Linked DNA regions of Sus scrofa. The protein of the gene in region 4 binds, or shares a complex with, the protein of the main gene of each other region. Links are inferred from orthologs where the notes say so. Each region holds a gene or a part of one and is shown on either strand. Other genes may lie near its edges. The genes, in order: SNRPD2, SNW1, SNIP1, GPKOW, SCNM1, SRRM1 and DHX16.

Region 1 (4,359 bases), on a different chromosome or scaffold from region 4:
TAATTAAGCTGCAGTTTGACGGCAGCAGAGTTCAGGGGTTTGGCCACAGTCTCAGGAGCAGGGTGGGTCTCCATCACAGCATCACCACTCTGGCTGGACAGCCCTGGCCAGGTGCCATCACCTCTCCGAGCCTCAGTCCCAGCCTCTGGAGCTGGAGGTGACAAACCACAGTGCCTGCTCAGAGCCCGGAGCCCTCACAGCTCAGCAGGTGTCAGCCTGGGGTACTGACCGCTTTAACCATGCAGCTCCCCTCCTGTCAGGCGGGCAGGCTGGGGCTCTTCTGGGCACAGCGGTGTCTACAACATTGCAGCACAGAGCTGGGCACAGAGGAGACACTTGGGGGATCGTTTGACTAAAGAAATGAAGAAAAACAAAAAAGACTGAAAGAAACTTAAGAGTGAAACCAACTTACTGAAAGAGAAGTAGGGAGAAGGGAGACAGAGAAAACGATGAGTAGCTGGAAGAAATTAAGCAGAAAAGACAGCAAAATCTCTCTCTGCTCAACCCATTCCCCTCACGGATGGGGCAAGTCAGGCCTCTTCACGGTTCAGGGAGGACCCCTCCCCAGGGCTCAGCCTCATGGCCAGCTGCCCCCTCCCCGGCTCAGCCCCACTTTTTAGGCCCCAGGAACAGACAGATGCCTCTAGAAAAAACGCAGGACTTTATTATTCCCATCACGAAGGGCAGGTCTTCACGAAGGAGGGAGCAGGAGGGCGGGCGGGCGCCTACTTGCCGGCGATGAGCGGGTTCCGCAGGACCACGATGACCGAGTCCCCGCGCAGGAACATCTTGGAGATGTAGCGGTCCTTGTTGACGGGCTTGGACTTCTTCTTGCCCTTGCCGCTCTTGGGGACCTCAGTCCACATCTCCTTCACGTTCTCCAGCACCATGTTGCAGTGCCTGGCGGGGAGGGAGCATCGGGAGTGAGCGGGACCCTGACCGCCCCTCCTCCAGCAGCGCAGGCCCGGGACCAGGCTGGCCGGCTTCCAAGGCCTCCTCTGTGAGTCCCTCGGCCCTCTGTGCCTCAGTTTCCTCCTCTCTAAAACAGGGATGCTCACAAGGAGATCCTGCTGAATAGCACTGAGAACTTTGTCTAGATACTCATGTTGCAACAGAAGAAAGGGTGGGGGAAAAAATGTAATTGTGATGTATACATGTAAGGATAACCTGACCCCCTTTCTGTACAGTGGGAAAATAAAAAAAATTATTAAAAAAAAAAAATAAGGAGTGCCCGTCGTAGCGCAGTGGTTAACGAATCTGACTAGGAACCATGAGGTTGCGGGTTTGGTCCCTGCCCTTGCTCAGTGGGTCAACGATCCGGCGTTGCCGTGAGCTGTGGTGTAGGTTGCAGACGCGGCTCGGATCCCGCGTTGCTGTGGCTCTGGCATAGGCCGGTGGCTACAGCTCCGATTGGACCCCTAGCCTGGGAATCTCCATATGCCACGGAAGCGGCCCAAGAAATAGCAAAAAAGACCAAAATAAATAAATAAATAAATAAATAAAAAATAAAATAAAATGGAAGAATATGCAAATAAATAAATAAATAAATAAATAAATAAAACAGGGATGCTCAGAGTTCCTGCTGTGGTGCAACGGGGTCAGGGGCATCTCTGCAGTGTCCTGCAGGACACAGGTCTGATTCCTGACCCGGCATAGCGGGTCAAAGGATCTGCTGGCGCAGCAGCAGCACCGACCTCGCAACTGCAGAACTGTGGCTCAGATCAGATCCCTGGCACTGGCCGCAGGGAGGGAAGAAGGGAGGGAGGGAGAAAAGACAGGAAAGGAGAGGAGAGCAAGAGGGAGATGTTCACAGAGCCCACCTCCTCGGGCTGTTGTGAAGAATAAATGAATCGATACGGTATTCCCATCAAGCACTCAGAACAGGGCCAGGCACAGGATAAATGGTTTTGCTTGTGCTTTTTAACTCTGAGCACTTCTGAAGGCATCAGCAAAGGAACAGCTTCTCTTTGGAGAACCAGCAGTCCCTGGTGGCCTGACGGGGTACGTGATGCCTCTGCTCCAGTTCTGCTCTGTCCCTGTCCTCAGGGTGCCGGGGGCGGGGTGGGCGGGACACGTGATTCAGCTCACTCAACAGAGAGACAGACACTCTAGTGACTGACGGGGGAAGAACACTCAGCAGGTAAACAAGACACCTGAAATCTACTGGCAGGTGGTGTCAGTGCTATGAAGAAAAATTCAAGCAAAGTAAAGGGACAGGAGGTTACAGGGAGGTATCATCCCGCCTGAGAAAGGAGACCCCTGAGGAAGCCCCGTCCTCGCTGTGGCGTGACCTTGAGCACATAGCATTGGGCGGGAAAAGCAAGGAAGGGAACAGTATGCACAGAAAGCCATCTTCTGAAACAACGAAAACACTTTCTGTAGGAAGACGGGAGTAGGAAAAGCAAATACTCCACCAGGTGTCCAATACAGAATCCTTTTTCAGAAAGGATTTCTTTCTTCTTTCTTTCTTCTTTTTTAGGGTCACACCCATGGCACATGGAAGTTCCCAGGCTAGAGGTCTAATCGGAGCTGTAGCTGCCAGCCTACGCCACATCCACAGCAACGCCTCTGCAACCCACACCACAGCTCACAAGATCCTTAACCCACCAAGCAAGGCCAGGGATCAAACCTGCATCGTCATGGATGCTAGTCAGATTTGTTAACCACTGAGCCACCAGGGGAACTCCCAATATAGAACCCTTGAAAGCCACCTAGAGCCTGGTGACCGTGGGTGACCTAGACAAACTGGGGAGAAATTGGATGGAAACTTTTTTTTTTTTGTCTTTTTGCCATTTCTTGGGCCGCTCCCACGGCATATGGACGTTCCCAGGCTAGGGGTTGAATCGGAGTTGTAGCCACCAGCCTACACCAGAGCCACAGCAACGCAGGATCCGAGCCACGTCTGCGACCTACACCACAGCTCACGGCAACGCCGGATCCTTAACCCACTGAGCAAGGGCAGGGATCGAACCCGCAACCTCACGGTTCTTAGTCGGATTCGTTAACCACTGCGGCACGACGGGAACTTCCTGGAAACTTTTTTTTTATTTTGTCTTTTTAGGGCCACACCTGAGGCATATGGAGATTCCCAGGCTAGGGGTCGAATCAGAGCTGTAGCCGCTGGGCTATGCCACAGCCACAGATCTGAGCCACGTCTGCGACCTACATCACAGCTCAGGGCAACGCCGGATCCCCGACCCACTGAGCAAGGCCAGGAATTGAACCCGCATCCTCGTGGATACTAGACAGATTCCTTTCCACTGCGCCACAACAGTAACTCCACTACTAGGCCTCTTTAAGACTTTCCAAGTTTTTTTTGTTTGTTTGTTTGTTTGTGTTTTTTTGTCTTTTTGCCATTTCTTGGGCCGCTCCCGCGGCATATGGAGGTTCCCAGGCTAGGGGTCCAATCGGAGCTGTAGCCGCCAGCCTATGCCAGAGCCACAGCAACACAGGATCCGAGCCGCGTCTGCAACCTACACACAGCTCACGGCAATGCCGGATCGTAAACCCACTGAGCAAGGGCAGGGACCGAACCGGCAACGTCATGGTTCCTAGTCAGACTCGTTAACCACTGCGCTACAACGGGAACTCCTCCAAGTTTTTTGTGTGTGTGTGTCTTTTTGTCTTTTCTAGAGTCGCACCTGCGGTATATGGAGGTTCCCAGGCTAGGGGTCTAATCGGAGCTGCAGCTTCCAGCCCACACCACAGCCATAGCAACGCCAGATCCAGGCCGCATCTGCGACCTACACCACAGCTCACGGCAATGCTGGATCCTTAACCCACTGAGCAAGGCCAGGGATCAAATCCGCAACCTCATGGTTCCTAGTCGGACTCATTAACCACTGCGCTGCGACAGGAACTCCAAGACTTTCTAAGCATTAACTCATCAATCCTCACAGCATCTCACCCCCAGGAGGCACACATTGGAGTTCCTTCCAGCTTCCAGAGCAGGAAACTGAGAAGAGCGGGATGAAGCCACTCACCCAAGGTCAGACAGTTTGGAAGAGGCAGAGCCTGAGTTCGAATCCAGGTCTATCTGCCTCCTTGGGCTCGGCACTTCCTATCGTTCTCGTTCTCACTTTACTCAAGAGTAAATTGAGGCTCAGAGTGAAAGCTTTGTTCTTGGTCCCACAGTAGCCATTGGCAAAAGCAATCCAGAGGTAAGCTTCACCCCCCTGCCGAGAGGAAAGCACTTCCCTGATGCTGAGGACTGCCAATGGTTTTTTGCTGTTGTTGTTATTTTGGTTTTTTTGTCTTTTTCGGGCAGCATCTGTGGCATATGAAAGTTCCAGACTAGGGGTTGAATCGGAGCTGTAACCACTGGCCTACACCACAGCCGCAGCAACCCCAGATCCAAGC
Region 2 (3,784 bases), on a different chromosome or scaffold from region 4:
GATGGAAAAGAGCAGGAGTTAAAGCTCCCTACCAAGAGGGACCAGCTGAAACCTGAGATATAAATTTGTATGACTGCCTAATTGTTTCCCCCCAAAGCTCAACAGCCATGACATAGGAGCAAAGGATGGTTTATCATTACTGCTGTCTTAGAGGGTAAAATGAAAATGTTTCAGAGAAAGAGAAGAGACAAAGGACAGGTTCTGATGATTAAGTACTTTCCCCAATATCTTCAATTCTAAAAAGATTTTTTTTTAAACCTCTATTTGGAGTATTTATTTATAAGAAAAAAACTCGATCTTAAAGCAGAGTTCCTTTGCTCTGAGTGTGGCTGCCCTGTGATGAGATAATTTTAAGTAAAACTTTATTTTTGGTCTTTGGATTACTTTGTAAGCAGGCCCATGCTAAAACCAGCATGTGTTAGTTTTGTGCTTAAGTGAGAAAGAAGTTTGTATGATTATATTCAAACGAACCATTAAAATAATTAAGCATCTATGTACTTTATGAGTCCATGGAAGAGAAACAGAAGAAACTATAGACAAAACTAAATTTTGACATTTTTAGGGTGCTAGGATTTTAAAAATTTGCTAGCATTTAAAAAAGTTAGTACTAGAAAAGAATTGTTTTTAATATACAGTGCTGTACATCAATTATATCTCAATAAAACTGGAAGAAAAAAAGAATTATTTTAAAAATGTAAAACAAATACATACAAACCCTAAGTATATATAAGCTATTATCAATTTGGGGAATTTCGAAGGAAAAAGTCATTGCTATTATGAAGTCACTTTTAATTAGCCTAAGTATGCTTCACTGTTATTTTTAACATAAACTAAATGACCAGAGATTTATCATTTTCACACAATTAAAAAAACTCCTCGTACAGTATTTATCAATGGAGAAAAAAAAATTAGTAAGAGGGTTACCTTGTCTTTTGACTGTCCTTGTCGAGCAATTGCATCATACTTAATTTTTCCTTCAGCATCCACCTGAATGGCCAGTGCATTTGACATTTTTTTCTTTCGTCCCATATCCAGAGGATACTGGGCCACATGGATCTCTGGGAAAGCACCTCCATCTCCAAAATCCTATATGTTAAAAAGAAATAAGAATTTATTTAATAATAATTTGAAGAGGTCCCTGGTGGCATAGAGGGTTAAGGATCTGGTGGTGTTACTGCTATGGTTTGGGTTTGATCCCTGGCCAAGGAATGTCCACATGCCGTGGATGTGGCCAAAAAAGAATATTTAATAGTAATTTGAGATTCAACATATACTCATTCATTCAACAAATAATTATTAGCCCTTATTATGCTAGACGCTAGAGATACAGCAGTAAACAAAACAGAAGTTCCTGATCTTGTGGAGTGTACATTTCCGTAGGAAAAAACATAAAAAGCATAATTTTTGGCTTGTAATAAACACCTTGAAAGCAAGAAAGGGACTAGGAAGAGGGGCTATTTTCAATAGTGTGGTTGAGATAGTCTTTGTGAAGAGGTAACATGAACTGAAGCCTGAATGATGAGAAATCAGTCATGGGAGGATCTGCGGGAAGCATTTACTAGGCAGATTCAAACAGCAAGTGAGAAGGTTCTGCTGCAAGAATGAGGTTGGAGTTCCCGTCGTGGCGCAGTGGTTAATGAATCCGACTAGGAACCATGAGGTTGCAGGTTCGATCCCTGACCTCGCTCAGTGGGTTGACGATCCGGCGTTGTTGCCGTGAGCTGTGGTGTAGGTTGCAGACGCGGCTCGGATCCCGCGTTGCTGTGGCTCTGGCGTAGGCCCCGGTGGCTACAGCTCCGATTCAACCCCTAGCCTGGGAACCTCCATATGCTGCGGGAGCGGCCCAAGAAATAGCAACAGCAACAACAACAACAAAGACAAAAGACAAACCCCCCCCCAAAAAAAAAAAAAGAATGAGGTTGGCATGTTCTAGGAAGAATGTCCAGTGGGGCTGTAGCTTACTGAGGGCAGAGGAGCAGACACATAGGTGATACAGCTGCATGAGCAGACAAACACCAGATCAGGAAAGGGATCCTAAACCACGGCAAGGATATGGATTTTATGTACATGGCAGGAAGAAATTAGGCAAATTGTTTAGCATAAGAAAAAGATTTTGTTTTAGCATACATAATTTTCTTTGTGAAGAACTCACTATAGAAGTCAAGCTATAGTTAGAGCAGAAATGTAAAGAATTATATTTCTTCTTCAGATTTTAATAATGTACTATTTATTCAGTGTTCCATGAGAAGCGGATAAATAGGAAATGAGTTCACCACATTTCTAATGATGATTATATACAATGGTTTAGAAGAGAGAATTAAGACTTCTAAAGTAAGGAGTTCCTGTCATGGCTCAGTGGTTAACAAATCTGACTAGGAACCAGTAGGTTACGGGTTCGATCCCTGGCTTTGCTCAGTGGGTTAAGGGTCTGGTGTTGCTGTGAGCCGTGGTACACGTCGCAGACATGGCTCAGATCCTGCCTTGCTGTGGCTCTGGTGTAGGCCGGCAGTTACAGCTCCCATTAGACCCCTAGCCTGGGAACCTCCATGTGCCACGGGAGCAGCCCTAGAAATGGCAAAAAGACAAAAAAAAAAAAAAAAAGATTTCTAAAGTAAAACAAGCTAAGTAAAGTCTGTTGATGAAGTTTAATAATACAAAAAAGTATGTCATCAAATTAATACATGAATACCAAACATTAAATACTTTTGTTAGATTTAATATTTGCTTAGTACCTTATTATAATGTACAAAATATAATCCACACATATTGTCTTATAATTCTTAAAAGCCTCATATTTCCTATGGAAAAAATTCAACTTTAGATAAACTAAGTTAAAAATGATATTTTTCCCAGGTTTTATGGTAGTTATGCAGGACTTGAACCCAGATCTTTTTTTTTCCCCCCCAGCAGTGAAAGCATCGAGTCTGAGTCACTAGACCGCCAGGGAACTCCCTGACCCAGATCATTTGACTTCAAAAAAAATCTCTGAATTTTCTGCTAAACTGAAATACGACAGGAAAAATATATTAATATCAATCATTTGGCAGGGGTTTGATGAAAAAAATTATGAAAATAGCCACTTTTATATTACCTCTTTCTTCAAGAAATATTCCATCAGACCCTGGATATATGACTTTCTAGGTACAAAATGCTTACTTGCTAGAGAAAGGTTTGCCTTTTTTTTTAACTAAACAATAAAGCTAAAGGAGACATTTTCTTGTAAATTAGGCAGAAAATAGTTAAAACGTTCCCAAGAAAGGTGCTATCTGTACTCTGGGCCATCATTCTGACACATGCTCAGATTTGCTAGAGTTCTTCAACTAAAATAAGCACTTCAGGACTGTAGTTGTTGCATTAGGTAATCATTAAGCTTGCCAGAAAATCATAGCTTTTACTTTGAAAACTAGAACAAAATGCTTTCTTCCAAGAACATTTGCTCCCCTCAAGAAGCATTCACAGTGTTTTTTCTTTTTTTTTTTGCCACATTCAGAGCATGTGCAAGGTCCTGGGCCACCAGACTGAACCTGTGTCAGAACAGTGACCTGAGCCACTGGAGTGACAACGGCAGATCCTTAACCCACTGAGCCACATGGGAACTCCACAGTATTTCTATTAGCTGGTCATTCTGGTTTGATTTTCAAATAAACTATTCTGCTCCACCAGGATACATGAAATAACTTTGTCAAGTAAAATTTTAAAAGGTAATAGCACCTGAATGTTGTCCTGATGTTGAAATGCAAGTAAGAATGAAATTTATGTCATATGTGAAATGATGCCTGCCACA
Region 3 (3,094 bases), on a different chromosome or scaffold from region 4:
AGGCTGTGGGTGTGGCCCTAAAAGGACAAAAAAAAAAAAAAAAAAAAAGGTAAGGAAGACCATCTAATAATGACATTAGTTTCAACCCAAGAGGAAGAGTTAGCAGCAGCCCTCAGTTGGATCATCTCTCCTTCCTCCCCATCACCAGCTGAGGGTGCACAAGCAGGGACTGGGGTCAACTGGTATGAAGCCCACCGAGTATAACCCGACTACTCTGGGAAGGAAAACCCCTTCACTGCTAACTCAGAAAACATGGCTGCTTCAGCAGGACCATCATTCACTCGCTGAGATTTGAAGATCTGGGTTCCTACGCTGGTGTGGGTTCAATATCCCTGTGACACCCTCCACAACTGTCTCCTTTTACTCAAAAATACTGATATAGGAGTTCCCATCGTGGCTCAGTGATTAAGGAATCCGACTAGGAACGATGAGGTTGCGGGTTCAATCCCTGGCCTCTCTCGGTGGGTTGGGGATCTGGTGTTGCTGTGAGCTGTGGTGTAGGTCGCAGACGCAGCTTGGATCTGGCGCTGCTGTGGCTGTGGCATGGGCTGGTGGCTACAACTCCCATTAGACCCCTGGCCTGGGAACCTCCATGTGCCGAGGGTGCAGCCCTAGAAAAGGCAGAAAAAAAACAAAACACTGGTAACAAAGATTTCTTTTGCAGCAAACATACCTCCATGCTAGGCAAGAAGTACACATCGAAATGAGGTTATATTTACAAATTTTATTATTTTTTATTCCAAAAATACATATATAAATGAAAACCTGCTCTTCAAATGCAGGGAGGCCTTTGCCTATAATGTAGTATTACATTTACATCCCAAAACATTCTCATGAAAATCAGTATGCCGCTCTTTCACACACAATTTCTTAAATATGTACATATATATACACACACACACACACACACACACACAATAGATGTAAGTAGTTAATGACTTTTCTACTTACACATATTCCTCTGGTAGAGAATTAGGAAGTCGGGCAATTCCCCATGCTTTCCAGCCTTGGGAAGGTAAATACCACCTCTCTGAACGTCTTTTTAAAAAGATGAAACATGTGAACCACACAACCTCCTTTAGACATATGTATGTTGTTAGAATAAAGCAAGGACCCTGCCACATAAATGACAGTGTGTTTCTCAGAGAAGAATGGAGATAAAATCAAAATAAAAATGCAAAGTTGAAGAACAGATAAGATGATCAAAACTGTTATGAACATGCTCCAAGGAGAAATCAGAGCTCTCTCACAGATCCATGACCCATTTCAGCCTCTCATGACGTGTCATCAGCATCTACCGGCAGTGGCCATGATCTTCCTGTACAGTCATATGCTTAAGCAGGCTCCATAAAGCATCTCTTTAAGTCCAATAGTCAATAGTGAGGTCATGTGGTAAACCACGCCCCCCCCCCAGATGAAGTGCAAAATCAATTTCCATGACTCAAGAGCTCAACCAGGTCAAAGCTTTGGTATATAGTCTAGAGGCTGTTTTGGTAATAACCAAAGCTTAGTAAGATTCTCTGTTCAGGGGTTTGCCCCCCAAACAAAAACCAACCCAGTCCACACAGCTTAACAACTATATAAATAAAGTAACTGTACAAAGAGAACAAGCCACAGTTCCCCTTTGAGGAAGGGTTTATAGTTTCCTAGACAGCAGTTCTGAAAGCACCAACTAAAGCCACAATGTTTCTACTAAAACGGGATGTGTTGGTGAGACTGTTCGGAAAACAAACGCCCACAGGCATGCGGTTGATGTGCCACAGAAAAGAGTTCAACCAAACAGAAATCAGTTTTCTTAAACTGTAACTAACGTAAGCTGGTCAGCAACAGAGGAAAGACTTAAGGCAATAAGAGGCATTACAGAGCGCACGGCAGTGCCCTTAAGAGTCAATCCCAAAGCCTCTGAAGAAAGAACAGGTCTCTCGGGAGTTTGGGTTGTTTCTTAGTTTGCTAGCTGTCAGACACTTCCTCCTCCTCCTCGTCATCCTCATCTTCTTTCCTGTCTACTTCAGATGTGTCAGAGGACTCATGAAGCAGGACATACTCTCTGCTGCTGAACCCGAATTTAAGGACATCCTTTTCCTTCAGTTCGTAGTATCTCTGAGGCTCAATTCGCTTGTTGTTCAGGAACGTTCCATTGCCTGAGCCGAGGTCAATGATGTAGGGCTTCACCCTGCGGCCAACTGTCCCATCAGCACGGGTATATTCCACAAGCCTAACAGAGATAAAGGAGAGAAACCTGTGAGTGAAATCCTGCCTCATATCATCCAACTCTTGGCTAACATAGCTTAGATGATGATGTAAATAACCTGGCTTGAACACAGTTCAAGTTCAAATGCTAGGAAATCAAGGAGAAGGTATGGCCATGGATTTGGAAATTGGGAGCGAGTTAAATATGCTTAGTAGAAATGCGGTGATAAACGGTCACTAGGTGGAGGAATTCATGGCTGATCAAAACCTTAGAAGAATCTAAGGCCTTGGAGTTCCCGTGGTGGCACACTGGAACCAAATCCGACTAGTATCCATGAGGATGTGGGTTCCATCCCTGGTCTCATTCAGTGGGTCGGGGATCTGGCGTTGCCGTGAGTTGTGGTATAGGGTGCAGACGTAGCTCAGATCTCTCGTTGCTGTGGCTGTGGCGCAGGCCAGCAGCTGTAGCTCTGATTCAACGCCTAGCCTGGGAACCTCCATATGCGACAGGTGCAGCCCTTTGGGGTGAGGAGGGGGGAATCTAAGGCCTCTTGCCATGCTTAAGAAATACATTTGTTTAGAAGCCATATAATACTTCTTTCACTTATATTTCACCGTATTTTAGCCTCTGTCCTAATGGGAACAAACCAATGATGGACTTGGACTTTACAGTCAAGAGAACAGATAAAATGATCAAAATTGTTCAAATTAAAATTGATTTGAGCCAGAGCTCTACCATAGTGATCATTTTTTAGGCAGGCCACTCGGCTCTGCTGAGCTATATCTTCTTGTCTGTCCAATGGGATATTAATACTTGTCCTCGCCTCCCCACAGGATTGTTGTGAACATCCAACAATAAAAGATGTGCTACGGAACCTGTCAAGATACAGATTCAGCTAACACA
Region 4 (4,263 bases):
AAATTTCATATGGAAATGCAAAGAAGAAAACTATGTTGTAAAAGAAGACAGTGAAGAGTAATTAAAATACCTGACTTCAATATATACTATAGAGCCACAGTAATCATGACAGTGTAATAATCATAGAGGCTGTGAAGGGTCTGCTAGGAAGAGGGAAGAGCATGGGCAAAGGCAGGGAGGTGGAATGACAGTGGGCATAGCTGGGGAACTTCGAAAGCCCCATGGGGTCACAAGAACAGGGCAGAGCAGTGAAGGGGGTCCAGTGTGTCCCCCTCAGACAAGGGCAGGTCCGAGATGGGAGGCGCATGGGGTCGAAGGAAGAATGAAAGCAGGGACCATTCAGCCATGTCACCGACAAGGACCGCCAGGACCCTGAAAGGAGGGAGCGAGAGGTGGCCCAGCCAGCCAGGATGGACACCAGGACACAGTGTGCCCGTCCACAGCCCATGGTGACATAGTAACTGGGCCAAGGGACTGTCGGGGGTGAAGGGCCTGAGACCCACACTGCCCTTGGCTGAGGAGGGGCCCTGGGTCCCTCCCGCCCTCAGCTTCTTCCTCCACAAAGTGGTGGCCACAGGCCTTCTCTCCCTGCTCCCCATTCCTCCTTCCTGCTTCCACTACAGGACCACTGTGCCCAAGCATTCCCCCCTCGGGGCCTTTGTCTCCAGAGCCCCTCACCCCCACCCCCTTTCAGACCTAGGACGGGCCTCCTCTCTCCCCTCTCATTGCCTGGGGTCCCCTCCACCCACGTGCCTTGAAAGCCTCCTCGAGTCCAGCCCCCTACTGTCCCTCCACTCTCCAGGAGACCCACCCTTCCCTACCTTTGGAATCCCCCAACCCTATCATGCTCAGGGCCCTGACGCCTCCCTCCCGTGGCCCCCCAAGCCTCCGAGGTCACCCTCCCCCCCAGCCCCACATTCCCCGCCAATTTACTGAGTGCCTACGATGTGCAAAGCTCTGCTGGAGGCTGCAGAATACCCTGGGTAACGTGGGTTCGGGGTCCGCATCCAGTTTCCAGTTGTCAGAGCGCAGGAGGGGCCCTGAACGTCTCTGGGCCTCGACGTCCCCCTCTCCCACGTGGAATGACGACATCCCCGGGGTGGAAAAGAGGTTTCCCACGGTGCTGGGAAAGAGAGGCAGCGCCTGCGGCAGAGCGAGGCCAAGGGCTCGCGCGGGCTCCCTCCCTGGGCCAGGCCTCCTTGCGGGCCGCCAGGTAGGTCACCGCGCTGCTTGGGGCGCCTGAGCACGGGACCGGCCGGCCTCAGCCGCGTCCAGGCCCGGGCAGGCGGCCAGGTGAGCTCGCCCAGGCGCTCCCAACACGCCACTGGCGTCCGTGCGTCCAGCGGGCCGAGCACAGGTCATGGAGCCGCGCGCGGGGGGCGCCACAGACCCTAGGGGGAGCGGAGGAGGTACGGGGCGAACGGGAGCGAGTGGACGCGTCCCTGCCAGCCCTCGCCCCGCCTGTCTGCTCGTCACCTTTTCCTTCTGGCAGGTGGTAAACAAGGCAGCCCTGGCGCCCAAGGGGCGGCGGCGGCCGTGGCGGCGGCGGCGGCGATAGAGGGCAGGGCCCCAGCGACCCGGGCTGGGCTCTGGGCCCCCTACCCGCACCCGCGCTGCGAAGCGGTGCACCAGACCCGGGGGCTCTCAGGAGGGTCCGGGGAGAGGTGCAGGAGGGGGTCTGCCCGGGGTCACTGGACACACCTGGGCACTCGGGCAGGGTCTGTGGTGGCCTCCGGGGGTTAGGCAGGGCCCTGCGAGGATATGGGAAGGGGCAATCCGGGGCTACGTGGGCCGGCAGGGGTACCTAGGCTATCTAGAGGGGAACCGGGGGTGCCGGGGCCACAGGGGCCGGACCGTGTTCTGTCGGGACCTCTGGGAGAGTCGGGATCCTTCTCGATGCTGGCGGGGAAGAGTTTGGGATCTGGGATTCTGGCGGCAGTTGGGGGAGGGGGCAGTAGGACACCTCCAGAGATGCCCACAGGGTGTTCGGAGGGGTCCGGGAATACTGGGGTTAAACAGCTAAGTCCAGAGATATCTTGGGGGCAGGCGGGGTCCACGGGCAAGCGAGGGACAGTCGGTGACCTTCGCAACTGTGGAAGAGTGGTCCCGGGTCTCCGGGATCTTGATGGCCACTCTAGGTCTTCGGTCATCGGGGGGCGTGGGGGCTCGCTGAGACTGAAGGTGGGCGTTGATCTGCCCTTTCCGTTCGCCAGGCGGTGGCCTTCCTCCGCGCGCGGGCCCCAGCGCCCGGGAGCGGCTGGCGCGGCTGGACGCGCGCCCCCTGGCGGCCCGAGCTGCGGCGGACGTGGCGGCGCTGGTACGCAGGGCGGGCGCCACTTTGCGCCTGCGCCCCAAGGAGGGTGCGTGACAGGGGCGGGGCGTCCAGAGGGCGTGGTCGGAGCGGAGCCGGGTTCTGGGGGGGCGGGCCTGGGATTGTTAGTTACTGCCCTGGGTGGGGCCAGCGAGTGAGTGTGAGTTGGGAGGACGAGGCTCGGCGGTGTTGAGGGGTCTGGGATTTAGCCTATAATATTCCTCTGGGAGGTGACACAGAGGACGGCTATTGGATCTGGCGTTGCTGTGGCTGTAGGGTAGACCCGCAGTTGTAGCTCCGATTTGACCCCTAATCTGGGAACTTCCATATGCCTCCGGTGCGGCCTTAAAAAGCTAAATAAATAAATAGAGAATATTATTAATTTCCCAGATATCCCCTACCTACACTTCAAACTGATTTTTCTTTTCCACCTTTTTTTTTTTTTTCTTTTACGGCCACACCCAGGGCATATGGTATGGAGGTTTCCAGGCTAGGGGTAGAATCAGAGCTGTAGCTGCTGGCCTATGCCACAGCCACAGCAACGCCAGATAGGAGCCGCATCTGCGACCTACACCACAGCTCATGGCAACGCTGGATCCTTAACCCACTGAGCAAGGCTAGGGATGGAACCTGTGTCCTCATGGATGTTAGTCAGATTCATTTCCACCAAGCCAGGATGGGAACTCCTGATTTTTCTATTTAATGAAATATTGTAACTATTGTTCCCTGTTGAGCCATGAAGAATTTTAAAACATCTGTAATCAAAGTATAACAGTTCCCTCGTGGCTCAAGGTACCTGACTGGTATCCATGAGGATGTGGGTTCGATCCCTGGCCTCGCTCACTGGGTTAAGGATCCGGAGTTGTTGTGAGCTCTGGTGCAGGTCACAGCCGTGGCTGGCATCCTGGGTTGCTGTGGCTGTGGCATAGGCCGGCAGCTTCAGGTCCAGTTCGACCCCTAGCCTAGGAACTTCCATATGCCGTGAGTGCAGCCCTAAAAAAAAAACCAAAAACACCCAAAGTATAACTAACATTCACTCATTATCATACAGAACATCCTGCCCCAATTTTCCATTCTTTCCTTCAGATCCATTCTTTGAAATGGAGTTATCGCATCAGGGAAGAGATATATATTATTATACTGCCCCCGATAAACTTTCAGTCAATTTATGCCCTTATCAGCAGTGTATGAGTGTGCCCATTTTTTTCTTATTCTTTTTCTTTTGGGGCTGCACTGGCAGCATGAGGAAATTCCCAGGACAGGGACTGAACCCAAAGTATAGCAGCGACCCAAGCTGGTGCAGTGACAACACCAGATCTTTAACCTGCTCGGCAGCAGGACAATTCCCCCATTTTCTTCCATCTTTAATAACTTTGGGCATCATCCATAGTACTTACTATTTTAGATCTCGGCCCAGTTAGGCTCTCTGGACCAAAGTTCTCTTATCTGTAAAATGGATTTTAAAATAGCCCCTACCTGCAGTTCCCATCCTGGTGCAGCGGTAATGAATCCGACTAGGAACGATGAGGTTGCGGGTTCAATCCCTGGCCTCCCTCAGTGGGTTAAGGTTCCAGCGTTGCTGTGAGCTATGGTGTAGGTCGCAGACATGGCTCTGATCTGGCGTTGCTGTGGCTGTGGTGTAGGCCAGCAGCTGTAGCTCCGATTGGACCCCTAGCCTTGGAACCTCCATGTGCGGCGGGTGCAGCCCTCAAAGGACAAAAGACAAAAAAAAAAAATAGTTCCTACCTTACAGAATCCTTTGGAGAACGAAAGGAATGCTTAGATGTGCAACTGGCATAGAGAACATACCATAGAAGTGTTTGCACTTTTTTGCTTGGGGTCTTTACCCATGAGTTAAATGAAGAACATTTCATTATTTATTTATTTGCATTGCTTTCATTATTAGTGAGGTTGAGAATTTTCACACGTGCTTCATGTCTATTTGTACTTCC
Region 5 (4,516 bases), on a different chromosome or scaffold from region 4:
CATCTATCCCCCTTTCCTGTAAATAAAGGCCCTCTGTCCACTCTGCCTGCCTCCTTCCTTGGGCTTTGGGGTGGAAATCTTGGCGCTAACCCCTCAGGGTTACTGCCAGTTCATCAGGGGATTATTTATACTCTAGGGATCAGCAGGCAGGGAGGGTCAAGTTACCAGGAGGAGGTGGGGGGAGCTCTCTCCCTTGGTGTCCCCCATAACCTGGCCAATGCCTTCAGTCCCTTCTGCTCTCACAGGGTGGCTAAGCCCTGGCCCTGTTTCCAGACCTGTCCAGCTCCCACCCCCACCCCACCCAGTGCCTACCCAAAAACTTCATGTCATTTGAAGGAGGAAAAGACTCTGAGTGGAGGTGGGGAAGAAGTCAGACAACATGAAGGGCAAAGACCTCCTTCTGACAGACTTATTTTAGGGCACCGGGCTGCATGCAGCTGACGCTTGGCATGACTTTGGTAGAAGTGGGGGGAGGGGCTAGAAGTATGGGGAGCTGTGTACATTGCAGGGAAATATTGGCCAGGCTGAGAACGAACAGACCTGAAATCCTGAAATGAGACAAGGAACCAGACTCAAGGAAAGTCAGGCTCCCAGCGCCCACTATAGTTTATTTGTGAACTGAATGGGGAAAGAGTGTCAGTCCAAGGGGAGATCAGGGGGTTCCTCTTCATCAGAATCAAACTCAACATTCTCATCTTTTATCCATCGACCTTGTCCATCTGGGATCCATCCAGAACTGGAAATATCAGAACAAACAGAATCGATCAGGAAAGGAAATGTGTTAAGAATTTAGTAGCGGAGTTCCCTGGTAGCTCGGTAGTTTATAGATCTGCATTGTCACTGCTGTGGCACACTTCTGCATGCTGTGGGCATGGCCTCCCGCCCCCCCCAAAAGCTAGTAGGGATAAGTAATATTTGAGGTTTGAAAAAAGGAGAGCCAGAGAGAAAAGGGACAATCTGAGGAAAGTGATTCCGTACACTCACCTTCGAAGGGTGAGATAATGATCCAGAGCCCGTCTTCTTGTGGGGCTCATAGGTGCAGGGGATGAGACAGTGGCTGATTCCTTGGTTTGTGATGCAGCCGCAGGCTCAAGTTCCCTACTGATCCTCTCACTTTGGGATTCAACCTCTGGGGGTGAAAAAGCGGAACGAGAGACAGAGGGACGAGGGGCTTCTGGTCTGGGTAGAGAAGAATCAAAGTCTGTAAAAGCAGTAAAGGAAAGGACCAAATCTCCTGTAACTCCCAACCCCTTAAAGCAGTGCTTCCTAAACTGTATTCCTCAAGATATTAACAGGTGTTCTGCATAAAAAGGATTTTGGAATCAAATGAACTTAAGGAAAGCCTAAGTTAGTTTTTTCAGCTTTTTTTTTTTTAAGACTGTGTAGAACCCTGAAAATATACTGTTACTATTCTTTTTTTTGGTCTTTTTAGCGCTGCACTGTGGCATATGGAGGCTCCCAGGCTAGGGGTGAATGCAAGCTACAGCTGCCAGCCCTTACCACAGCCACAGTAACATGGGATCCGAGCTGTGTCTGCAACCTACACCACAGCTCACAGCAACACTGGATCCTTAACCCACCAAGCAAGGCCAGGGATCAAACCCTCATCTTCATGGATGCTGGTCGGGTTTGTTCACCGCTGAGCCATGATGGGAACTCGTAATATTACTATGCGTCAAACAGGATTACAAAATCCTATTTCCCAAACAAAATTCTTTTTTCCTGAAATTCAAGTTAGCATTTCCAGAACACTAGTATTCCTCAGAATCCAATTTGGAAAACAGTACTTTAGAGCGATCGATCTCCTGTTCCTCCCTACTTCTGGATTACCCACCCCACAGACCTGTTCTTTCGGCGGCAGCAACTGTTATAGTGAGGAGCTCTGTGCAGAGCACTCTGGGTAATAAGTCGAGTCTGGGTTAACAGAGGAGCCTGGCATGGAGATGGGAGACAAAGTCAGAACCTTCAGAGCTAGAAAGAATCCAGAGCCTTCAAGCCTAAGGTGTGCAGCCTGGAACACACCCTCCCCTCTCTGATTACCTCTGCTTTGGTCTCTTCTCTCCTCAATTCATTCTGTTGTCTTGGATTTGGCTCCAGGCCCTTTCCTGGGTGCTTCTTGCCATAGAAAAGCTGCAGGCCTCAGGAGAAAGGGAAAGAGAATTAAAAGGAGGGCACCCAGAGTGAATAAACCCTTTAAGGGTTTATTCTCTATGCTCTGTCTTCCCACAAACTTACTGGACAGATGTTTCTTGCCTGCACGGTGGGCAGTCAACATGGCCAGGGTGTCCAGTACCGGTCGGTGAGGACAGATGGCACAAGCAAAGCTAGAGAGGAGGAGAGAAGATAATTGGTTCCTGGGGAGTGGAGTCTCTGCCATAGGTTCCACCACAGCCTAGAACTCCTTTCCAAAGCCCAAATCCCAAGTCTCCCAGTCTCCACCACCAACATCCCTGTTACTCACTCCCCGCCAAAGATTCCTTGTTCTTTCCAATCTGCTTAATAACAAAAGTTTGTTGAGCCTCTAACCGCAGAACCCCCAGGCTTGATCCACTCCTAGTCCTCACCGTCCATCCCGTAGCATCAACGCCTCATCCTCTGGGATGTAACTCGCCAGCAGGTCCCCGACTCTCCGTTTCTGCAGGGAACAAGGGAAGAAATGAGGACGGGGTCAGCTGGATATGAGGGAGGAACAAAAAGGAAATGACAAGGACGAGGACTCAAAGGGAATAAAGGCCACAAGAAGGGTAGAGATCTGGGCTGAAGAAGGGGTGTCGGCCCAGTTCCAATCGTCTGGCTTCCTCCGCCCCCCTCCCCCGAGTTGTTGCCACAGCAACAAAACAGCTCCCTCACAGCCTTCAGACGGCAACTGAAGCTGCTCCAGATGCTCTCCTCTCGCGCTTACTTTGAGCACATTGAGTTGACTCCAATCGTCCCCTTCCCTCTTGAAAGACATCACGACTGTGAGAGCCCCAGAAATATAAGTTTTATCGCGCCGCGTTCGCCACTCCTTTCAGGCCACCGTAGCAAGAGTGGGACGTCTCCTTTCTTTCCTGTCTCTTTCCGGTTGGCCCCCTTACTTCCGGGATGCGCTTCCACGCATGCGCCGCGCGATCCCGAAAACCCGCCTCTAGCCCATAGAGGGGACTGCATTTCCTATGGTGCTCTGCGACCCCGCCGGCGCGGAGCCTTTTGGGAAATGAAGTCTTTTTTCAAAGAGCTTGCCGCCCTGCCCGATTCAGGCCCTTGCATCTTGGCAGATTAGAGGCGTTTGGAGAAAGAGGAACCTAGCTGTGGATCCCGAGTTTGAGAGTGTGACTGATTTGATGCGGAGCGTACCTTTGAGGATCTCTCAGGGGAAAGTGTGCTACAGATTCTCGCGGTCATCACGCCCTTCGCCTGAGGCCACAGCCCACCTGGAGTGGGCCTGATTAGTTCCCGACCCTAGCGACCAAGCCCGGGACGCGCGGAATCGGGGTTGGGGGCTGGGAGGTCTGGCGGACCGACCTGGGGGCAAACTCTGTAGTGTAGAGGAGGGTGTCTAGTGGTCAAAGGTCAGAGGTCAATGTCGCGAGTTGTGGGGGATCGAAAGTCGGAGGGGTACTAAGGAGAAACTCAGGTAGGGACTGAACAGTCAGGTTACAGGTTTGTGGGAAAAGGCCTTGGAAGGCGGGGAAGCCAGGAGTCAGAGGTCGCCTAGTGGGGGGAAGGCGGAGAGACTTAGGAGAGAACACAGAAAGGGAAAGGAATCCTCCAGATTTTCATTCCCAGACCCCGGGCCTGTCACTATCGGTCACTTGGCCGGGCCTCCCGCAGTTGCAACTCCAGTTGTCCGCAGGGTGAGGAGATGGCCTCTCCCTCTAGACAGGCCCCCCTCGGGGGGTCAGGACTGCTTCAAGGGAGCCGGGCTCGTTCTTATGGAAGCCTTGTGCAGTCTGCCTGCTCCCCGGTGAGGGAAAGACGCCTGGAGCATCAGTTGGCGCCCGGAGACACCCTGGCTGGACTAGCACTCAAATACGGGGTGACGGTGAGTCTTCCAGGATTGGGACGCAGACACTCAGAAAAGATTTATTCCTCATGAGGATATAGTGGCCCTCTGGGCAACTTCACCTGAAATTTTCCTAATTGTGTCTAAATTAGTTAATTGTGATAAATTAATTGACAAGGGTCCCATCTCGTGTTGCACTGTCTGGTTGAGACAAATCCTGTCTCAATATCCCGGTGGAGGTGAGCAGCTCTTATTTATTATACCAGTCACTATACTAAAGACTTTACATCCATTAGCGCATCTGATCGTCACATCCCTATCAAGCATACAATTATTATACCCTTTTTATAGGTGAAGAAACTGAGACTTAGATTGGTTAACCAATTTGACCAAGGTCAAATAACTAGTAAGTGCTGGAGTGAATATTCAAACAAATCTATCTTACTCCAAAGCCCATACCCTTTTGTTTTATTTTGTTTTGGCCAGGGATTGGCCAGGAAGTTCCTGGGCTAGGTATTGAACCCTCACCAC
Region 6 (3,784 bases), on a different chromosome or scaffold from region 4:
AGGCTCAATTCAAATGGCCACCATAGTTTTTCTCTCTGTGATTTAATGCTGAAGAAACAAGCCCCAATAGACCACAACCTTCACTCAGACTAACTTGGCATTCTACTTGCTTGGTTACCTGGCAGGATCACAGATCATAAATTCCTCAAAAGTCAATTTGCAGAATAAAGCAAGGACAACACTCAAAAGGACCCTGCCTAGAGCCTAAATTAAAAAGCAGAAATCAGCTTTTAGGAGGACACCATGTCCAGCCCTGGGGAGTACAATGTGGCCAAGAAAGAATTAAAACAAAATATGAAGTCCTCAATTAAGGTATCAAACAAAAAATCTTCTGGGTTAAAAAAAAAAAAAAAAGTTAACTGGTCTCATAATAATAAAATGTTCCCTTACCATGACAACACAAACTTCAGTTAAGTTACCTCAACTCAAACAGCCCACGCCTGGTAATAGCACATCTCTCCACCTACTCAACGCCGAGGGCATGCTAAGAGCAAAACGCTTTACCATGTAGACTCCATTAACAAACCCCAAGAACTTACAGCACGAAAGAAAAGGTGAGCTTCTCAGCAAATTTATAAAAACATCACATACGAATATTACCCAGCTACTTCATACTTTGACAACAATGACGACTAGGTATTTTGTAGCCAAATGAACAAAGAAAGAACATATTGATTTTTACCTTTACCTGAAGTCCTCCCTGGAGAGACAGAAACACGACTCTTCCTTGTACGATTTGACTGCTGGGGTGTTGGGGAATGACGAGTTTTTGGTGGTGGAGTTGCTGGAGGTGAGGGCCTATGCCTTCGCCTTGGAGGACTTGCTGAAGGAGATAGCCTACGAGTTTTTCGAGGGGGGCTGGATGTCCTCTTTGGAGCCTTCTTTGGCGGTGACCGGGAACGAGACGAAGATGATGATGAGCTACTTCCAGACAAGGATGCTGATGAACGCCTTCTTCTGTGGAATAAAGTGCTCATATTCATTAACTGCATACGTACCGAGAACGACCTTACAGGAATGTACAGTTTACACAAAAATACAGCTATTTGTATCCAACTTTTGAGTTTATGTAGCTAAGCACATTAATTTTTTAAAGGGAAACAACACCATAACCTAGGCAGGAAACAGCTAGTTCTGAGACTAACTACAAATAACTTATTCTGATAAATGCTTCTGTTTGATTTTTATTTCCAGCTATAAAATATGTCCAGTGCTACAATATAATAACTAGCCAGTCTCTTCCTTCCTTGGAATAATGAGTGTTTTGGAGTTTGCATATAAAATTTGGATGGCAAAGTATTTTTTCACTCAATAATAAAATGTCAACCTTTAGGCTGCATTTTTAAAAAAAAAGATGTGCAGGATTAGGAATTCATTTAGCTACATAAACTTAGAAGCAGGGGCCTCTCGAATTCTGCGGCAAAATTTGTGGTAAGTTCTGTGCAATTATGTGTACCTGCAGAATTCACCTTTGGCGGAAGAATTCCTGAGAACCTGAAAAAAAGAAACCCTACCTTAAGTGTGAGATAAAAACTGGCTGAAAGGGAATCTTACACAATCTGCAAATTATTTGACTGCTAAATGGCTCAGTAAGCAATTAAAACACACTTTTTGCAAAACTCCAATGTAAGAAATAGCTGTTTCCACTAATCTTCTACTAGAAAGCAGTAGCTCTACTTTTCTAAGGAACAATCATTTTTAGAAAAGTATGACGCCTAAACTGGCTGACCATTTACATCCTTAGTCTTATTTATTTATCAATGGTAACATCAATTCCGTAATTTTTAGCAGTAGTTATAAAAAATGGTTCAATAAACTCGAAAACCAAAAACTCTGTCCTAAGTATAATCTGAAGTATAATTATCAGGTCCTTCCAAAAACAGGTGAAATGTATTGTCAAGAAAGCACAAAACTAGAGTTCTCGCCATGGCACAGTGGGTTAAGAATCTGGCATTGCTGCAACTGCACATAGGTTGCAGCTATGGCTAGGATTCAGTCCCTGGCTCAGGAACTTCCACATGCCTTGGGTGCAGCCATAATTTTTTTTTTTTAATTTAAAAATTAAAAAAAATTTAAAAGGTACAAAGCTCTGCTACCAGTACACCATGCCTCCACTTTGGGCAGATGTAACAATTTTTCTATTACAAGTGATAGATTATGCTAATTTATTCATTTATTGATTTTTCTTTTTAGGGCCACAACTGTAGCACGTGAAAGTTCCTGGGCTAGGGGTCAAATCAGAGCTGCAGCTGCCAGCCTACACCACAGCCACAGCAACACCAGAACCAAGCCACATCTGCGACCTATGCCACAGCTTGCAGTGATGCTGAATCCTTTAACCCACTGAGCGAGGCTAGGAATGGAACCTGCATCCTCATGGATACTAGTTGGGTTCCTAACCACTAAGCCACAACAGCAACTTCCACCTTATGCTAATTTAAAAATGATTTTTAAAAAGGAACACTGGTATTGACAGGGTTACTTTTATGCGGCCTCTTCAAATTGCTAACAATAGTTATATCTATGGAATGGGACTGGGTAACTCTAAGTTCGTTTTACTTGTTTTAACTGTTTATAATAACTGCTCACTACTTCTTAAATATGAAAAAAATCTTTAAGAGTATAAATCAAGTGAATTATTTTAATACTGGTAGAGCAATCAACTGGCTCTGCAGTCATCTATATTTAGAAGCTAATGGTTAAAACCCAAAGAAAGGGTAAGGCAGCCAATTCCCTTACTTGATAGGATTTCTTGGTAGCATCTGAAAAGATCAAGGTTAACACAGATAACAAGTATCAATAAGATAGTGAATTTGTTTTTAATTTTCCAAATCTGGATTAGTGTTGCTTAGCATTGCACAAGTAACAGCACTACAACCTCAAATGAGGATGATCTTTATAAGACATTGCTTAATACCACTCATGACTTCTTTTTTCCCAGGATGACACTAATTCAAAGATTAGCCTAAAACAAATATATGGTCACTTCCAAAACAAAAAACCACCTCTCACCGTCTCACTGGAGATCTACTCCTTCTATGCCTTGGTGGAGGAGGCATTCGTCTCGGTGGAGTTCTTCTTCGAGGAGATGGCCGTCTTCTTGGGCTTGGCCGCCTTCTAGGGGAGTATGATCTACCATAACAAACAGAATTAGAATCTGAATAAATCTTGAGCAAGAACAAACACCTTGACATAGTTTTCTTGACAACTACATCCAAAAAACGGTTTTCAAGGGATATGAGTGTGTAGATTTTTACAGACCATACAAAGTGCCCTCAAATTCTCTCTAAATTCAAAGTTTAACATTTGTGCAAAATTTTTCTACTGCTTTGAAATAATTTACCCAATTCTATCTAGGAGAGTTAGCACATAAAATTTAAGATCTAGGCAGATATTACAGCCATTACCCACCTTGATCGGGATCTATGGCGCCTTCTAGGTCGAGTATGAGAAGGAGAGCGAGAACGTGTCCGGGATCTTGACTTGGAACGTGACCGAGATCTTGGTCTGGTCTTCTCCTTTTCCTTTTCCTTTTTGGAATTCTTCTCTGGAGAAGGTTCTTTAGGCTCTGGTACAGGTTCAGGCTTGGGAACTTTCAGGATGTCACTGTGGGGGGAAAAAAAGCTTACTTTCCCCCTCTTCTCAGAATCCCAAGTCATAATACAATGATACAAAAAGTTTATCTTTCTTTGGTTTTCAAAATTCATGAAGATGTCTAGAAAGATATATACACATCAGTAAAATTCAGTGAACAACCAACAATTCTAACCACATCCATTTCTTA
Region 7 (4,274 bases), on a different chromosome or scaffold from region 4:
TGTGGCTACAGGTCCAGCAGAGAGCCTTCTCAGCCGGAAGACGCCACTGGAGGCAGCTCCTGTCTTCCGAAAGGTCACTTTCTGCAATCACACCAAACCTCAGACGCAACTTCCTGGGGATTTATGGAACGTGCTGCTCCTACAAACCTTCTTGTCTGAGCGCTCCAGGACGTTGCGAGTTCGATCCTTGTCCCGCTGCCTAACCCGCTCCGCAAACGCATCCCGTTCCTCCAGGTCCTGAAGGCGCTCTCGCTCTGTCCGCTCCCACTCATCCTCCGACTCTGGCTTCTCCGTCTGTGGTTTATTCCCCCTGCAACCCAGCCCAGAGGATTAGTTAAGGGCATCCCGAGGCCTGCTGTCGCATTATCCACCCGCCCCATCCTCTCACCCCCCACTTTTGGTCTTTTTAGGGCCACCGCACCCATGGCACATGGAAGTTACCAAGCTAAGGGTCCTACACCACGGCATGGCAACTCGGGATCCAAGCCACGTCTGTGACCTACACCACAGCTCACAGCAATGCCAGATCCTCAACCCGCTGATTGAGGCCAGAGATCGAACCCGTGTCTTCATGGATACTAGTCGGGTTGGTTACCACTGAACAAGAATAGGAACTCCTCTCTCACCCTACTTCTGACTTACCCTGTAGTCTTCTTTCCTTTCTCAGGAACTTCTTCCTCCTCTTCTTCCTCCTCTTCCTCCTGACGTTTCTTCCTGAGGTGTTTCCGTTTTTTCCGCTTCTTCTGGAGACTGCTCCCAGCCCTGCCTACAGCCTCCTCACTGCTCTCCTCACTGTCCTCCAGCAACCTGTAGGATCGGTTCTTTTCCAGCAAGGCTCGGGCCTCTCGCTCAGCTGCCCGAGCTGGCTTTTCTGCCACTGCCTTCCGTGGGACCTGTCAGAAGAGGAGAAGACAAGGGGGTGTGGGCAACTCCCGATCCCTGCCTACCTACTCAGCCCTGCTCCTAATTTAAGGAGTAATTTGTTTTTTGTTTTTTTTGGTCTTTTGAGGGCCGCACCTGAGGCATATGGAGGTTCCCAGGCTAGGGGTCCAATCAGAGCTACAGCTGCCGGCCTATACCACAGCCACAGCAACACGGGATCCGAGCCACGTCTATGATCCATACCACAGCTCATGAATCCTTAACCCACTGAGCGAGGTCAGGGTTCGAACCCGCATCCTTGTGGTTGCCAGTCAGAGTCGTTAACCACTGAGCCATGACGGGAACTCCAGGAGTAACTTGATCTTCAACTGGCCTTCATTCTCTCCCTTCCCCAAGACCTTGCACCAGGCCCACCTGCCTGAATGGGACCGCTCAGCTTCTAAACTTCTTTTCAGTAATTCATTTAACAAACATTCATTAAAGCCTGTCCTGTGCACCCACTGCTAGGCATTAGGGATACTGGGATACATTAAGAGAAAAATCCTTATCCTCATGGAGTTTACATTCTCAAACAGTTCTCAACTGTTCTGCCTCCCTTCTTTCCAATGACTAAGTCATTCCCATACAAGGGAGTTCCAGTTGTGGTCAGTGGTTAATGACTCTGACTGGCAACCATGAGGATGCGGGTTCGACCCTGGCCTCGCTCAGCGGGTTAAGGATATGGCGTTGCCTAGAGCTGTGGTGTAGGTTACAGACGTGGCTCAGATCCTGTGCTGCTGTGGCGTAGGCCAGCAGCTGTAGCTACAATTGGATCCCTAGCCTGGGAACCTCCATATGGTGCAGGTGCAGCCCTGAAAAGATGAAAGACAAAAAAAAAAAAAAAAAAAAATGTCATTCCAACACAAGGACTGACAAACTGACAAGGATTGTTTTGCAGAAGCCTGTCACGTGCCTGGCACTGTACCAGACTCCAAGGATACAGTGGTGAACAGATTAACAAAAAGCCCTGACCCTCACATCACAATGTTCTAATTTCATCTCTCACTAAGCACCTTGTAGGACGGATGCATCAGGTTATCTGCCATCCTGTAAACAAGCTCAATACTTTCATTCTTTTTTCTTTTTAGGGGCACACCTGTGGCATGTAAAGTTCCCAGCCGGGCTAGGGTCTAATGGGAGCTATTGCTGCCGGCCTGAACCACAGTCACAGAAAGGGAGGATCTGAGCCGGTGTCTGCTACCTACACAACCCACGGCAACACTGGATCCTTTAACCCACTGAGTGAGGCCAGAGATGGAACCTGTGTCCTATTAGTCGGGTTTGTTACCGCTGAGCCACGACAGGAACTCCCCACACATTTCTTCTATAACCGCACTACTCAAGGTGTGGTCTGTGGACCATCAGCATCACCTGGAAACTTGTTAGATTTCGAAATGAAGAAACGAAGAATCCTTTCCAGACCTACTGAATTAGAAGCAGCATTTTAACAAAAGCTCTAGAGGAATCCTACACCTGTTAAAAGTTTGAGAACACTGCTCTATACCGCTTAACCCAACGTACTTAAGCCGTCCTCAACCCGCAGGCGATAACGGACAAAGGATAAACGCCTGTTAACTGAGTTAACTTAATTCTCCAAACGCGCGTCCAGCCCAGCCTCACTGGGACAAACAACCTGGGGACCCCTTCCCTGCTCCACCCCCTCTCCTATTTCTCCCACGCCGGGGCCCCGCCCCTCTAGGCACCTTGTTCCAGAGTTTCAGGGCGAAGTCCCGGGCTGGCCCGCTGAGGTCCAGGGTATCAGTGTCTCGCAGGCGCTGCACAAACTCTTCCGCAGAGGCGCAGCGCTGTGCGGTACCGATCAGGAACTGGGCCACGTGCCGCTCGCTCAGCCCCAGCACCGAGTGCAGCTCGTCCTGCACCCAGCGCTCCAGCCCAGCCGGCGTCGCCATGGCGACCTATGCTCCTTATTCCTGGCCCTGAAAGTATCTCCAGCAGCCACGCTGGCGACCGGGCGGGTCGGAGGCCTGGAGCCCCGGGCTGGAACCTCTCCTCCCCAAAGAAGCTGCCTTAGCACTTCGGGGTTCGGTTGCTGACAGTCCAAAGCAATCTTCCCGGACCCCGGAGGCCGGAAGTGGTCCACTTTTCCGGCCTAAGCACTACGGTGGCTGAACGGGCCCAAATCTCGCGGAAGTGTACGGGATAAAAGTTTCATTTCCTCCCTTAGTTAATCTCTCTGCCTCCCCCACCACGTTGGTGATTTGTAGGTATTTCATTCAGCAAATGCTAAGATCCTAATATGCGTTAGGTACAGTTTCAGTCCCCGGGGATATAGCAAAAATCAATCCGAAACGAATCCCGTGATGAATTTACAGAGGCTGCGGGGGAGGGGGAAATTTACATGTAAATTAAACATGTAGGAGTTCCCGTGGTGGCGCAGTGGTTAACGAATCCGACTAGGAACCATGAGGTTGCGGGTTCGGTCCCTGCCCTTGCTCAGTGGGTTAACGATCCGGCGTTGCCGTGAGCTGTGGTGTAGGTTGCAGACGCGGCTCGGATCCCGTGTTGTTGTGGCTCTGACGTAGGCCGGTGGCTACAGCTCCAATTCGACCCCTAGCCTGGGAACCTCCATATGCCGCGGGAGCGGCCCAAGAAATAGCAAAAAGACAAAAAAATAAAAAAATAAAATAAACATGTAAATTCTATGAAACCAAAAATAACGCAAGGTTTGTGAGTGTGTGTTTGCGGGAGGGCGGTGAAGTCCATTTCAAATTAGAAGATCGGTCCACTTATTACAGATTCGCCCGTGCTGATTAGGAGTGACCTTTGCTAGGACTGATACTTTCTGCAGAAATGAATATAGGTTAAGCATAAGGCAGGACTCTAGGTAGGAAGAAATTTGGGATCTGAAGGAAAAAACTCAGTGCCTTCTCAGAAAGTTATTTTAGAAGATCTCCAAACTAATGCACAAAATGTATTTTGCTTTTTTTTTCTTTCCTGACAGCTTGAGAGATTGATCAGTGGCTACTTAATTTTTTTTGGCCACGCCCAAGGCATTTGGAAGTTCCCTGTGCCTGGATCTAACCTGCTGCACAGCAGTACAAGGCCAGATCCTCACCCGCTCGAATCAGGGAACTCCACCGTCTGCTTAACTTCATTTTTCATCGATTTTTAGGTCCATACTCGCGGCATATGGAGGTTCCCAGGCTAGGGGTCAATCGGAGCCACAGCTGCCGGCCTGCACCACATCCCCAGCAACGCTGGATCCAAGCCGCGTCGGTGACCTATGCCACAGCTCAGGACAACGCCAAATCCTTAACCCACTGAGCGAGGCCAGGGATCAAACCGCAATGGTTTCTAGTCGGATTGTTTCTGCTGCGCCACAGCGAGGAACT

The links.
Region 1: GPKOW (region 4) and SNRPD2 share a complex: the UniProt entries of both Homo sapiens proteins name them as parts of the minor spliceosome. The link is inferred for Sus scrofa from reciprocal best matches to the Homo sapiens genes GPKOW and SNRPD2.
Region 2: GPKOW (region 4) and SNW1 share a complex: the UniProt entries of both Homo sapiens proteins name them as parts of the minor spliceosome. The link is inferred for Sus scrofa from reciprocal best matches to the Homo sapiens genes GPKOW and SNW1.
Region 3: GPKOW (region 4) and SNIP1 share a complex: the UniProt entries of both Homo sapiens proteins name them as parts of the minor spliceosome. The link is inferred for Sus scrofa from reciprocal best matches to the Homo sapiens genes GPKOW and SNIP1.
Region 5: GPKOW (region 4) and SCNM1 share a complex: the UniProt entries of both Homo sapiens proteins name them as parts of the minor spliceosome. The link is inferred for Sus scrofa from reciprocal best matches to the Homo sapiens genes GPKOW and SCNM1.
Region 6: GPKOW (region 4) and SRRM1 share a complex: the UniProt entries of both Homo sapiens proteins name them as parts of the minor spliceosome. The link is inferred for Sus scrofa from reciprocal best matches to the Homo sapiens genes GPKOW and SRRM1.
Region 7: GPKOW (region 4) and DHX16 share a complex: the UniProt entries of both Homo sapiens proteins name them as parts of the minor spliceosome. The link is inferred for Sus scrofa from reciprocal best matches to the Homo sapiens genes GPKOW and DHX16.

Annotation. Positions count from the first base shown.
Region 1 is NC_010448.4:52,035,258-52,039,616, forward strand, and holds the end of SNRPD2 (small nuclear ribonucleoprotein Sm D2), read right to left. Parts: intron 901-4,359; coding exon 726-900; 3' UTR 643-725; downstream 1-642. UniProt on the Homo sapiens protein: Plays a role in pre-mRNA splicing as a core component of the spliceosomal U1, U2, U4 and U5 small nuclear ribonucleoproteins (snRNPs), the building blocks of the spliceosome.
Region 2 is NC_010449.5:100,739,359-100,743,142, forward strand, and holds part of SNW1 (SNW domain-containing protein 1), read right to left. Parts: intron 1,087-3,784; coding exon 925-1,086; intron 1-924. UniProt on the Homo sapiens protein: Involved in pre-mRNA splicing as component of the spliceosome. As a component of the minor spliceosome, involved in the splicing of U12-type introns in pre-mRNAs.
Region 3 is NC_010448.4:93,596,346-93,599,439, forward strand, and holds the end of SNIP1 (smad nuclear-interacting protein 1), read right to left. Parts: intron 2,216-3,094; coding exon 1,951-2,215; 3' UTR 705-1,950; downstream 1-704. UniProt on the Homo sapiens protein: Required for pre-mRNA splicing as component of the spliceosome. As a component of the minor spliceosome, involved in the splicing of U12-type introns in pre-mRNAs. Down-regulates NF-kappa-B signaling by competing with RELA for CREBBP/EP300 binding.
Region 4 is NC_010461.5:43,188,877-43,193,139, reverse strand, and holds the start of GPKOW (G patch domain and KOW motifs-containing protein), read left to right. Parts: upstream 1-1,301; 5' UTR 1,302-1,360; coding exon 1,361-1,492; intron 1,493-1,565; exon of another isoform or gene 1,566-1,718; intron 1,719-2,213; coding exon 2,214-2,360; intron 2,361-4,263. UniProt on the Homo sapiens protein: RNA-binding protein involved in pre-mRNA splicing. As a component of the minor spliceosome, involved in the splicing of U12-type introns in pre-mRNAs.
Region 5 is NC_010446.5:98,079,303-98,083,818, forward strand, and holds SCNM1 (sodium channel modifier 1), read right to left. Parts: upstream 3,073-4,516; 5' UTR 2,954-3,072; coding exon 2,903-2,953; intron 2,636-2,902; coding exon 2,565-2,635; intron 2,325-2,564; coding exon 2,236-2,324; intron 2,139-2,235; coding exon 2,041-2,138; intron 1,933-2,040; coding exon 1,844-1,932; intron 1,180-1,843; coding exon 985-1,179; intron 737-984; coding exon 637-736; 3' UTR 542-636; downstream 1-541. Other genes in the region: LYSMD1 (lysM and putative peptidoglycan-binding domain-containing protein 1), read left to right, coding at 3,845-4,024. UniProt on the Homo sapiens protein: As a component of the minor spliceosome, involved in the splicing of U12-type introns in pre-mRNAs. Plays a role in the regulation of primary cilia length and Hedgehog signaling.
Region 6 is NC_010448.4:82,319,156-82,322,939, reverse strand, and holds part of SRRM1 (serine/arginine repetitive matrix protein 1), read right to left. Parts: intron 3,607-3,784; coding exon 3,412-3,606; intron 3,133-3,411; coding exon 3,013-3,132; intron 958-3,012; coding exon 683-957; intron 1-682. UniProt on the Homo sapiens protein: Part of pre- and post-splicing multiprotein mRNP complexes. As a component of the minor spliceosome, involved in the splicing of U12-type introns in pre-mRNAs. Involved in numerous pre-mRNA processing events.
Region 7 is NC_010449.5:23,205,043-23,209,316, forward strand, and holds the start of DHX16 (putative pre-mRNA-splicing factor ATP-dependent RNA helicase DHX16), read right to left. Parts: upstream 2,832-4,274; coding exon 2,625-2,831; intron 894-2,624; coding exon 643-893; intron 311-642; coding exon 148-310; intron 1-147. UniProt on the Homo sapiens protein: Required for pre-mRNA splicing as a component of the spliceosome. Contributes to pre-mRNA splicing after spliceosome formation and prior to the first transesterification reaction.